Coturnix japonica: one gene and its partner. The protein of the gene in region 2 interacts with the protein of the main gene of each other region in a biochemical or structural test. Links are inferred from orthologs where the notes say so. Each region holds a gene or a part of one and is shown on either strand. Other genes may lie near its edges.

Region 1 (6,211 bases), about 12 Mb from region 2:
CAGCAGATCTAAACTACTGCTGTAGCTGTACGCTGTGTCAAAGTAATAACTTGAAATGGTTCTTCCTGCAATTGCATATCCAAAACACTTGATTAGGAGAGGAAGATGCTCACATATGAACAAAGGGACCAGTTCAACAGATTTTCTGCTCAAGCCAAAGGTAGAGTCTGAGCCAGAGAATCTGTCCTGCTTTATACTGATTCAGATGCAATATGCCTAAAGCAAAAGTTTATAATCAATATAGTTTAATAGCTTAACCTGCTACCACTTCAACAATCTCTCCAAATATTCTTAATGCTCTGTTTGGAACTACCCATTCTTGTTCACAAAATGCAATACTTTTCTAATTCACACTGAATTTCCATTCAGCTGCAGATGTCAACTCTAAGTGTCACCTGATGTTTGTTCCACACACTAGATTGATCCAATTAAAATAAATATAATATTAAAGAAGCTTTTTCCAGGTTCATCGTTGAAGTTGGTACATTGTTAGCTTCTTGTGAAGATACCAGAGTTTCAATACCCTGTATGTTTCTGAGGAAATATTTAAGGCCTGCCATGTACTTATGAAATGATGACCTCTAGGGGAGAAAAAAGTCAGCTTAATACAGACACCGTCACTTTCCCCAGGGAGTTAACCATCCTGGGCTGATGGTATGCTGTCACCCCAGAAATCTATGTAATAGAACTTAGACCAGGCAGTCTTTGAAGTCTTGCTTTTCCTGGTATCTCAACTATACTATTGCATCACTTAGGAAAGTTTGACTTGCAGTTTTCTGGGCTTCTACTGAAGCTGAAAACAAACTAATTTGTGGTCTAAATTTTTTTTCAGGCTGAGCCTCTAGTTGTTGATCTTAAGGACCTCTTCCAACTAATATATAACATGAAGAAGAAGGAAGAAGAAGAAGACAAGAAAAAGGCAAGTAAAATTACAGCTGCAACAGTCTGCATAGACTTAAGTTTTGTTTTAGTTTTGTCTGGGCTTCTAGACCACTGTGAGATTTGAAAGTGTCATGGCACAGTATTGGCTAGCAGTTGTGCCAGCAGTTTCATTACTAGATTTAGGAGGTAAACTAACTAAAGCCTCTTGCATTCATTATTCTACCCAATGTGTAGATACTAAAAGTTTGTTTTCTTCTTTAGAATGAAGAAGCAAACAAGACTCAGGTAAGTCACTCTAATTCATCACTTGATCAGTATTCTGCTGTGATAGAACTAGCTCTGTCTTTCCTTATACTGCTAGCATATGGTGGAATCATGAGATGCTTGTTACACTGGAAATTGAGACAAATGTGTCTACAGAACTAATAGTAGTGATCTCCCATACTTTCTCTTTTATATCATTTGCTTGCTCAAGCATGTGAGTTCATTGTTTAAGGGAGGTTTTGTTATTCTTATCACTGACACTGTTGTCCATCTATTCCAGAATGGTAGTGAGGCACTACCTGCTGGTCAAGCTGACAAATTGAAAATGGTAGGTTCAATTTTAGAACTTTATCCTGATGTCATTAAAGTTCATAGTAGACTATCTCCATGTGATACAGGAAATACAAGTTTTATATATGTTCAGTAGGAATGTGTAATACTTGGATTTTGCTTTCGCAACAACTCTGACACCAATTTTTTCAATACTTTTGGCTTCAAGGGAGTTGACCAGATGGACTTGTTTGGGGATATGTCAACACCTCCTGATGTGAGCAGTCCCACAGTAAGTAGACTTCTGCTTTACTTATCTCACTTCTATGTTCAAGAGCAAACTTTTTCTGAGTAGTAAGATCTATTCTGTTCTGGTTTTACAGAAGCTTCTTCCTTATTATAGAAACATACTGGAAACTTAGAGCTATGATAGTAGGAACTTACTAAATAGACTAGCTAATATTCTTATCCAGCAGTATTCACTATGGACAGTGTGTGACAGAGACTGTGTGACAGAGATATTATATACTGTTATGTTGTTAGCCATAGGCCAAATAAATATGTACTAGTAGCATATACCTGTGCTGTAAGTAGCAAGATAGGAACTCAGTTAACAATCTTTAAAGTTGAAGCTTATTTTATGGATGAGTAAGTAAGTTCCAAGTAGACTTGTAGCTATTACAAATGTAAGCTAGGTCCATAAAATAGGGCCTAACTTCATTGAAGTATGCATTTACCTTGTAACAACTCATTGTGACTTCAAAACTGTACTAGTTTGCTCTGGAATAAAAAGCTATAAGCAGTCATGCAACAATTGATGTTGCAATAGATGTCAACAGAGCTAGTGACTAGTCTTACTCTTCTGTCACCTGCTTTGGTGGATAGTGTGTTAACCTTCTCCACCTGCAGATTGCTTTGTAATCTTACTCCAAAGCTGAGATTGCAACTTGGAATCACTCTAAAGCAACATGATTTTACAATTGTTTTAAAAAAGGACTAAAACCCAGGCTGTCACTGGAGTCAAGCTCACCTGGGTGTAATTAGTGCAAATGACTAAAACTTCTCTTAAGTCCAGTTAAATGAAGAGATCTTGAAACTGGTGTTTTCAACAGTGAATGTTTTGAACTAAGTAGCTGAGACTTGATTACAGCTACCAGGCTTACAAAATGGGACCATAATTTGACACCAAATACGTATTAGTACGATGTGCTGGATACCAGATCTCTCCTTTTCTAGAAGTTTTCCTTAAGCTTGTGTACTTTGCAGTAGGTCATACAGAAAACTAACTTTACTTTTCTTTCTGAACAAATAGGAAGCTAAAGAGATTCTCTTAGTGGATCTAAACTCAGAAATTGAGACCAAACAGACTTTTGTAAAAGAGGATCTCTTCTTGAATGGCATCACACCTTCTCTTCCGCAACCAACGCCACGGCCACCTCTCTTCTTGCCAGAGGGTTCTTTCTCTACCAATCTCAGCTTCTTTCCCACACCTAATCCAGACCCTTTCAGTGATGATCCTTTTGCACAACCAGACCAATCTGCACCACCTTCATTTGATTCTCTAAAATCTGCTGATCAGAAGAAGGAAAATCTGAGTACCTTAACATCGGTGGGTAATGGTGCTTCAAATGGTGATGTTGACTACTTTGGTAAACAGTTTGACCAGATATCTAATAGAGTTGGCAGACGAGAAGCACAGACAAGCCAGTGGCCATTTGACAGTAAGCCACCCGCAGCAAGAACTCCAAATGGGGTACCAGAGAGAGAACAGAATGGCTTTCTTAAAGCTCCATCAAACCTCTTTGTGGAAGATCCTTCCAAAGGAGTAACTCTGCAAAATGGAGTAAAGCTGGATTCTGAAAACAATATCCAGCTCTTGTCACACGAATCTATTACAATTAGCCCACCACCACAAAGTAACAAGCCAGGAAGAGGAAGGAGGTCTGTCAAGGTGAACAATGTTCCAGTAATTAATGGTGATATGCATGCTCTTACTTAGAGAATCTGGGTGAAGGAAGCTTTACTTTCTTCATTCTACGTAACTGACTAAAGAGCTCCACAGCATATCTCTTCCACCTGCCATGCTTACTCTAACCTCTCTGCAGTCATGGTAAATCCTAACACTCATGAATGCTCCATAGTAGCTATGATTACTAAACATATGTTCTTTTCCTTAATGCTGCCATACTTCTGTAAAGGTCTGGTAAGTATACTACCGTGAAATACTGATGCTAGGTACAATGCCAGTAGCTGTTATGATAGCTATGATAAATACACATCACCTTGTGGCTTCTTAACAATGAGTTACCAATACTAGTTTACAGAATTTGAAGTGGCTTCACTGTACCTGCCTACGGAGGGCAATCTCAATGACTGGCCTGGTCATACACAGGGTGGCTCTGGGTTAATCTCTTGCAGTCAAGTGATGCAGAACTCCGTTGATGACCTTGTCATAACTTCAGAGGTCATTATAGTCTGGGCAGGAGTATTTATTTGTGAGAAGAGGAATCTCATTAGGATAACAAGCAATTCAGTTATTCCAAGTCTTGCTCTTCTGCTGTTGACCTGGAATTACTATATATTATACAATGCCAAGTTTATCAGTAGGCATAAACTGGTGAAGTTTGAATCACTTATACAGAGTACCTACAGAATACAATAAAGCTTCATGCTCTGCTATAGCTAAACTAACAGCTTGTAGCTCCAGACTAAGACTTCTTAACCATGTTAGTTTATATTCTGCTATGTCATTTCACAACAAGTTTGGTTGTTTTTTTTTTCTTTCTAGGCTGCCTCAAGTGACTTGTTTAGCTCAGACTTTTTTGCACCAACTACAGAGAACCTTGGTGTAAATTCATCAGCACAGACAGGACTGGTGCAAACTAATCGACTGGACCTCTTCAAAACAAATCCTACCACAGCCCCTCCATTAGCTGGCCTAGGTTAGTTCACAACCTATATCTTAAATTCAAACTATTACTCCAATCTAAACCCACCATGGATGCTCTAATTACCTTTTGCTTAATCCGTGTGCTGTCCATCATAAACTATTAAATTCTGTGAATTGGGGACCTAAATTCTGCATCTTCAACTAGAGCAGGGCTTTTTGCTTAAACTTTGACAACAAATCCAGGTTGTACCAGGACGCTAATGTGCGTGTCACAGCTTGAGAAGCTAGGGTACCACTGTTGCAGGATCTTAACTACTTACATGGAAGTAACTATCAACCTCATTTCTGTTCTTTAAGGACTGACATGAAGTGAAGGAAACAATACTAAACCCTTTTTCAAAGGCTACCTTCCTCAGTGGCATTACGTTAAGCGTAAATCAGTGGATTTTTACAAACAGCACATGAAGAATGCCTTTCTGTTATCAACAATGGAATTGGTGCACTTATTCTTGATCTTGACATCACTGAAGCACTGTGTAACAATCATGTTCCCCACAGGTGGCTTGCCATCATCATGGAGTACAGAGATGCCTGCCTTCACCCAGGCCACATCGGTCTTTCCTGGGTCTATGATGCCTACCCAGTCTGCAGGATTTACTCAACAACTTAGCTTTGGCCCTCAAGCAGTGACAAGCTGGAGTCAGCCTGGATCTTTTGGTCCAACAGCATCTCAGTCCTCTGGTATCTGGGTCCAGCCAGCACAAGTTCCACCTGCTCGATGGGTACAGCCATCCAGCACTGTAAATCCCTTCCAGAGTAATGTGTTTGCATCTTCAATGCTACCCACTCAGACAGAGTCTGTATTGCCCTCTGCGCCAACAACAAGCCCACCTCAGCCACCACCTAGAACTGCACTTCAGAAGGAGCTATCCAAGAAAGAAAGTGATGCTTTTATTGCTCTGGATCCACTTGGGGATAGAGAGATGAAAGACGTCAAGGAAATGTTCAAAGATTTCCAGCTGACAAAGCCACCTGCAGTACCAGCAAGGAGAGGAGAGCAGCAAAGTCTTTCAGGTGCCTCCAGAGCTTTCAGCATTTTTTTTTTTTATTAAAGTACCCATTCCTCAAGATAGTACAGGTCATAGGGATGTGAAACTTAGCAAGCTGTCCAAAAAGACTGGTAAAATTTTTCTTGTATTTGAATAGCCACTTGCTTATTCATTTTGAATATAATTGGTTGAACTTTAAGGTCAGTATGCTGATAGTGCTTAGCACACATAAAAGCTGTTTAGTGATATAACAGAATGTCTCTTCTTCCTAGAACCACTGAAGCCTGTTCCCAGACAAAGTGCACTACCGATTGATGTCCTGTTTGAAAGCCAACCTAAACCAGACCTTTTCAGTGCCTCCTCTGTAAGTAATAGATGTTTTCTCTATGACTGTTACAGCACCCCACCAATAGCAATATTTGTGTTGATGCAGTGGCTTTAGAGAACGTGGGGAAAAAACAGTCTTGCATACTTGATCTAACTAAACACTTGTTGCAAGAAAGCTAACAAAGCGTTATTCCATTTGGTTTAATTCTAAAACCAGTGCTCCAAGCTGTAAAGCCTCTCTACAAGTACTTTGTTTCTATATGTGGGAAGTTTCTACAAAGGACTGTGAAGTAATGGAGAAGCGGAAGACTTCTGCAGCTATGCTTACTTCTCTGCAGAGTACATAGAGCAGTGTTGACTGTGCAGGTCTTTTGCTGAACAAATACTAGACCCTATGTCCAGTATCCTCTTGGGGGAGGAAGTGGTCTATGGAGACCTCATTGTGGTCTTCTAGAAGGGAGGGAGCCTATAAACAGGGAACCTATAAACAGGATGGAGAATGACTGTTTACATGGGTTGATAGCGATAG
Region 2 (6,809 bases):
TATACACAAAAATATTCCTGTGACTACGGTGATGGTGTTACACTTCTGACAGCTAGCTACTGAGTGTCTGACAGAGCTACACAGAATCAAGCGCATTGAAACACCCAAAGCTGGTCACCTAGTGTTGATACAGGTGGCCTATGTTCCTCAGCAGGAAACGTTCTGAGAAGTTTGAACACCAAAGCGACCTGGCAATTGCAATTCCATTCTTCTAGTTTCAGTAAATCACATGAAAACCAGCTCCAGGAAAGCTCTCAGCATATGACAGGGGTAATTAAAAATACTTCCAGGACAAAAAAACAGAGAACTGCCAACTCATGCTAAATATACAGAGAGGGAGGAGACTGCACCAATACCGCACAGCCACGCTCCCGAAAACTGAGCATCCAACTGCAAGCCAAGCACAAACATGTGAATGGGACTGTGGATGGAAGCTCGACAAGTCTCGGTATCAATCACAGCCTGTAGGTGCACAAGAAAATACATCCTACTTTTATTAGAGCAACACCCTTCACAAAGCTGAGATCACTAATCCTGCATGCAGCCAGCCCTCACACACTGCAAGAATCCTGAGAAAAAGAGAAAAAAAAATTAAAAAAAAAAAAAAAAAAAAAAAAAAAAAAAGGAAATTTCCCCCTCACATTCACTCTCAGAAGCTGTGGGTAACACAGGCAATTGAAAAAAGTACCATAAGGAGAATGTCAAAGCCAATTTTAACATGTATTTTTGTGCCACAAAGCTTCCTGAAAATTGAACATGCACAGCATTACATGGAGACCAGCTTCAGCTGCACATAAAGCTTCTAAAAGTTTAATCAATTTAAAGCAATTAGTGGATATGTATGACTGGCTTAGATATGGCTTATTTTGGTTAACCTGAAATGGTTTAATAGTCTCACCATTAGTAAGAGTACAGTCTGCATCAGGTGACTTAAAATCAAACTTACGTTGAAGCTCGTGCTTCACTTCCTACATCGTGCTAAGAAAACAGCAGTTCAGTTCTAACAAATGCCTTTTGTTCTCTGATACCAGCATTTAAGGGTATTCAAAGTGACAAAACCTAGTTATTCATAATGGAAATATTGCAGGATTCCCTCCATGTTACAGCACTGTTTTGATACAGCACATACTCAGCAGCAAGCACCCAACGTTTTATGACAACATCCTAATTAGGAGCTGGGAATGTTTGGCCATGTGACTTGAATGCCTGAAACTCAGTCATAAGAATTGAAGCCATTTATAGCCCGTACTACTCATTTATAATTTCTGATACCACAAACAAATTAGCCTTCCCAATCCCTCAAACTGAACCAAACTGACCTGAAAAACGCAGTGTGCAGCACTCTGCACACACAGCCCTTACAGCAACAGTACAGGCCTCTGAGCCCCACATCCTGACAACCACAGAATCATAGAATTACCCAGGTTGGAAAAGGCCTTGAAGATCATCAAGTCCCTCTCAATGACCAAAATCACCTCCCAATGACCAGCAGTCACCTGCAGCCAGCAAGCGACAGGCCCAAAAACACCACAGAGAAAACACATTTTCCTCATGTTTTCTGCTAAAAATAAAATTACATCTACTCATCTGCTTTTAAAAGTAGTGCACACATGCAAGTCCTAGAAAGGCTTGGGTTGGAAGGGACCTTGGAGTATCATCTTGTTCCAACCTTGTGCTGTGGGCAGAGAAGCATGGAAGTCCAATGATAACCTTCCTTTACAGTAAATATATTGTTTTGTTTTTTGTTTTTAGTTTAAATGAGCACATTTGTAGCGAATTCTTATAAGACAGCAGCTAAACACTGTGCAAGAAACATACACATTCACACAGCACTCCAGTTTTTCAAATAAATCACTTCAGGTTTCCTTTGTCTATATCTATCAAAAACTTAAAGAAACAGAGAGAGCTTTCCAAAGCACAAGACCCAGATCTCCATTTCTTATTGTACCATTTCATCTGTGAACTGCTGACAACGCGTGCATTATATAATTAAGAATTTCCCTCCATACTCAGTTCTGGTGAGGACACAACTCAAGCACCGTGTTCAGTTTTGGGCCCCTCACTACAAGAACATGTTCAGGCCCTGGAGTGTGACCAGTGAAGGGCAATGAAGCTGGTGAGGGGTTTGGAGCACAAGTGTTATGAGGAACAGCTGAGGGAACCAGGATTGTTCAGTCTGGAGGCGGCTGACAGGAGATCTTATTGCTGTCTAAGCCGATGGGTTGTGGTGATGTGGGGGTTGGAATGTTCTCCTGTGCAACTAGCAATAGCACTAGAGGAAATGGCCTCAAGTTGAGCCAGGTGAGGTTCAGGTTGGATATTAAGAATAAACTTCTCCTCAGAGTGGCAAAGCATTCCAACAGGCTGCCCCGGGCATGCAAGGATTGTGCAGATGTAGCACTGACAGACATGGTAGGGATGAGTTGGTGGACAACCTCAGTGGTCTTTCCCACCCTTATTGAATCTACGATCCTACAATGCTTTGGATGTACTTCACATCAGTGCTTTAGGAAACATAATATTCCACTACATCGGTGACCAAACCAGCAAAAAAGAAAGTAAAATAGTTTACATGGCATTACCTAGAAGGCCAAGGAAAAACCAAAAGCCTGATGACAGTTCTTCCAGAGTTCAATGTAGAACTCTTTGTATTTATGGATTCTTCTCTGTTGTATTTTGTCACTGTCCACTCAGTGCAATTTAACATCTCTTCCTTTCCATGTCCAACCTTTTCACCATGTTAAAACACACTCAGATCATGCTAAAGATCTTCCAAAACACTGCAGTAACAATTCCGAACAATAACCCATTCCAAAAAGATAGACAGAGGCTTCATAAGGCAGACAGACAAGGGGAAACTTTGAGCAGATGTCACCTGCCTTGAATTTGCTGGCAGCATTTGCAAAGGTACGAAGAACACAGAAATACGTATGTATGGGAATGGCACCATCTTCACTGGTTTAACACAACTGCTTACTGCCCAACTGAGCCATTGCCAATGAAACAGTTCAAAGATTAAAAACCTGAAATTCATGGCATAAACTTTATTTCAGCGGAGAGAACAGAATATAAATGCGTGGTTTATTCTCTTTTCATCTGAAAAGCTGACTTTTTACACTAACTTGAATATTACTTTTGCCCAAGATGGAAACAAGCCACATATTTGTTTCCTATTCATCTTCCACACCAGAACTCACACACCAAAACCTAGCAGGCTCGTATACCGAGGGAGCACATGGTGGATCCTTTCATAGAATTTTAATACCTCACCCAAAACAAAACTGGAGAGTCGGAATTAAACAACTCTACAAACAAAACACGAGGCCAGGCTGCAGCTCTGCTTTATTTCCTCGCAGCGCACACTCTGTGAAGTCAACACTCTCCAAACACTAAGAATAACCATTATTTATGCAGAACCAGATGGATCTACGAGATTTTTCTTTTTTTTTTTTTTTTGTCTCGACAAATATTTGCTGTGACGTTTCCCCCACCCGTCAGCAGAGACGCACGGTAAAATCCTACGCACCGCGGAGCAGCAGCAGCACCGGGTTGTGGGCTTACGAGAACGGCGGCTGCGATGTTTCAGACCCGTTCCACGAGGGATTCGGGTTGACCGAGCTCCGAAGGAAGGCTCGGCAACAATCCCAATTCATCCCTTAACGTTTATCTCCGCGTTTTCCCCACGGAAGCGCCCCCACAGCCCTGACTACACAGACGGAGTAAGTGACAAACGGCGTCACACGCAGGGCCGCCCGCTGCCCGCCGTCCCTCCGGACACGCCGGTACAAAGGCAGCAGGCGGATGAAGGCGCGTATTGTCCGGAACCAACGGCGAGGACGGACATTGGAGCCGGGGCCGCCGCCTGGGGTCTCCCGTACGGCCCCACCTGGCAGCCCCCGAGAAGGAGCTCGGCACGGCTCGGTACAGCACAGCACGGCTCGGCTCGGCCCGGCCCGCTCTCCAGGCCCGACCACCGTCCCCGGGGCAGCCCCGCAGCCCAGCCCGCCGCGGCAGCACACACCCCGCCCGCCTCCCACCGTAGCCGTGCTCTCCCACCCGCTTCGCCGCGGTAACGCTTGTCGGCGCTGCCCTACCCAGAAGCTCTCCACGAAGTACGCCATCATCATCCCGCCGTCGCCGCCCCGGCCCCAGCTCGCCCGGCCCGGCCCCAACCGCCGAGACGCGACGGAGGAAGCAGCCGCCGCCGCCACGCGCCGCCCTTCCCGTCACGGCGCACCGCCTCCCTCCACACGGCGGCTCCGCCCAACGCGCGGCCGGATGGGCCGTCAGAGCCCGGGACGGGTACGGTGCGTAGCGTGCGCATGTGTAGAATGCGGTGCTGGGTAAGGGTCGGGCTGAGTAACGTGAGGCGTGGAGGGCGGTGTTTCTCTGAGAGATCCATAGCAGGGTGCTGACTGCAGGACCTAATGCTGACACTGAAAGCACATAAAAGCTTTGCAAAAATATTGCTTACAGTTCTTATCTCTTCCCTAGGTTTACAGTGGTTGCTACAGAAGGATGCTGGCTTGGTTAGCTGCTGTCCCGGTACAATTGTTTCTTTGTTCCTATAGCCTAATGGGAGTGGACAGAAAGGAATGCTATTCTGATAGCTGTGACTATATGTGAGTGTTTCAGAATAAAACAAATATCCCCACTGCGTGCCAGCACAAGCTCTCATGGAAGATTCAAGTAATTTCCTGGATTAATATTATAAATGCAGGGATAGGGAGGTGATTGTCCCTCTCTACTCGGCTCTTGTGAGGCCCCATCTGGAGTACTGTGTCCAGGTGTGGAGCCCTCAGTACCAGAAAGACATGGAGATTTTGGAAAGGGTCCAGAGGAGGGACACGAAAATGATCAGGGGGCTGGAGCACCTCCCCTATGAGGACAGGCTGAGGGAGTTGGGTTTGTTCAGCCTAGAGAAGAGAAGGTTGCGGGGTGACCTCATTGCAGCCTTTCAATACCTGAAGGGAACTTACTCCCAGGAGGGGAGTAAACGCTTCTAAAGGGCTGACAATAGCAGGACATGGGGAAATGGTTTTAAGTTAAAAGAGGGAAGATTTAGGTTGGATGTTAGGGGGAAGTTCTTCACTAGGAGAGTGGTTAGGCCCTGGAACAGGCTGCCCAGGGAGGTTGTGGATGCCCCGTCCTTGGAGGTGTTCAAGACCAGGTTGGACGGGGCCCTGGGCAACCTGATCTAGTAAAGGTGTATGTTTGGTGGCCCTGCCAGGCAGGGGGGTTGGAACTACATGATCCTTGAGGTCCCTTCCAACCCGGGTCATTCTGTGATTCTGTGATTCTGTAATGCATTTATACTTCAGAGTATAAAAAGCACTTTCTCTCTCATCTATGTCATCTACATAAACTTGGAGTACCATAACCATGTGCCTCACAGTAGAAACATGAAGAGGCAAGCAGATTTCTTGGCTACAAGGCAGCCCACGATGGGGATGGATCACTAGACTGAGGCCAATGGGATGAAGTTCAGCAAGACCAAGTGCCAGGTCCCACACTCTGGGCATAGCAAAGCCCAGCAATGCTGCAGGCTTGAGGCAGAACGACTGGGAGACTGTGCTGAAAAATGCACCTGGGGGTGTTGGTTGATGCTCGGCAGAACACGAGTCAGCAGCATGCCCAGGTGGCCAAGAGGGCCAATGGCATCCTGAATTGTATCAAAAATAGTGTTGCCAGCAGAAGCAGAGAAGTGTTCATCCCTCTGCACTCAGTGAGGCCGCACCTCGAGTACTATGTTCAGTTTTGTGCCCCTCACTACAAGACATGGAGGCCTTGGAGCATGTTCAGAGAAGGGCAACACACTATATTAGCTAAGACTTACTGGAAGAACTTTCAAGTTACAATACCAAAGGTACAATGCATCTAGACTACAGGTCTGAATATAACTGAAAAACAAAAGTTAGGTATTGCATTCTACCATGGAAGCTAAGCTAATTTGCTTCATGTTTTAACCATTTGAAAATCAATTATGAATTCCAACCAGAATAACCACACACCGTTATTGGGTATACCCCCTTTTTTACCACCCTAGCAGAGAACAACAGACAAGGAAAGAGGAAGAAAGTGAATTGCTAGGAGTCTCATGGATCATTTAACTGTGGTAAGAATTAAGTTATGTTGTGGGGCTTTAAAATCAGCAGGACTGTATTCTAGCCACACAGTTGTACCTGCCTGGCTGCAGACACTACCTGGTAGCTTAATAATTCACTTGCTTATGACCTAACTGCTGGAGACATATTGCAGCATGGGTTTGGTTTTTTGTTTTTTGTTATTATTATTATTATTATTATTATTTTTAGTACAAAAACTGCAATGAAATGAGCGATCACAGGTGAGATAATGGCACAGATTCCAGTTCTGGGCAGAGTGGAATTTCTATTATTTCTGAACTTAAGAAGAGTTGTGCATGCGCAGCTGTAGATAATCACATTTATTACGACAAGAAATCAACTGAATATTAGTTTGTTTTTTCCAGCTTCTGGTAAAGGCTCTTTCAAACCTAATAATGACTTTTTGTACTCTCTTGAACCATTCGCTAGCAAGTTTCAGCTGTACTGCTTTCAGCATCCCTGGAATGTATTCCATTAGGCTGCATCATCTGACTCACTGTATACTTGAAAGTGCACCTCTATTGATTTAGTCACCATGCTTGATCACATCCCATTCATTATTTCAATTACTTGAATTAAGAACCCAACAGCATTGTTTCAGAGTGAGTCACTGAGTACCAATACTCCACCTTTATTAGTCTTCTGCTTGCATTACCAAAATCTTGTTTCATCAAATCAGCTAAG

What was found. The genes of interacting proteins can lie anywhere in the genome.
Region 1: the proteins of FCHO2 (region 2) and DAB2 form a complex in vitro, tested with the Homo sapiens proteins (2 studies listed by BioGRID). The link is inferred for Coturnix japonica from reciprocal best matches to the Homo sapiens genes FCHO2 and DAB2.

Annotation. Positions count from the first base shown.
Region 1 is NC_029547.1:11,303,027-11,309,237, reverse strand, and holds part of DAB2 (disabled homolog 2), read left to right. Parts: intron 1-832; coding exon 833-919; intron 920-1,143; coding exon 1,144-1,167; intron 1,168-1,426; coding exon 1,427-1,474; intron 1,475-1,645; coding exon 1,646-1,708; intron 1,709-2,728; coding exon 2,729-3,367; intron 3,368-4,204; coding exon 4,205-4,358; intron 4,359-4,864; coding exon 4,865-5,380; intron 5,381-5,627; coding exon 5,628-5,719; intron 5,720-6,211. UniProt on the Homo sapiens protein: Adapter protein that functions as a clathrin-associated sorting protein (CLASP) required for clathrin-mediated endocytosis of selected cargo proteins.
Region 2 is NC_029547.1:22,818,806-22,825,614, forward strand, and holds the start of FCHO2 (F-BAR domain only protein 2), read right to left. Parts: upstream 4,128-6,809; coding exon 4,095-4,127; coding exon of another isoform or gene 3,802-4,094; exon of another isoform or gene 3,464-3,801; intron 1-3,463. Other genes in the region: serine/arginine repetitive matrix protein 1-like, read left to right, coding at 3,802-4,307, 4,495-4,534. UniProt on the Homo sapiens protein: Functions in an early step of clathrin-mediated endocytosis. Has both a membrane binding/bending activity and the ability to recruit proteins essential to the formation of functional clathrin-coated pits.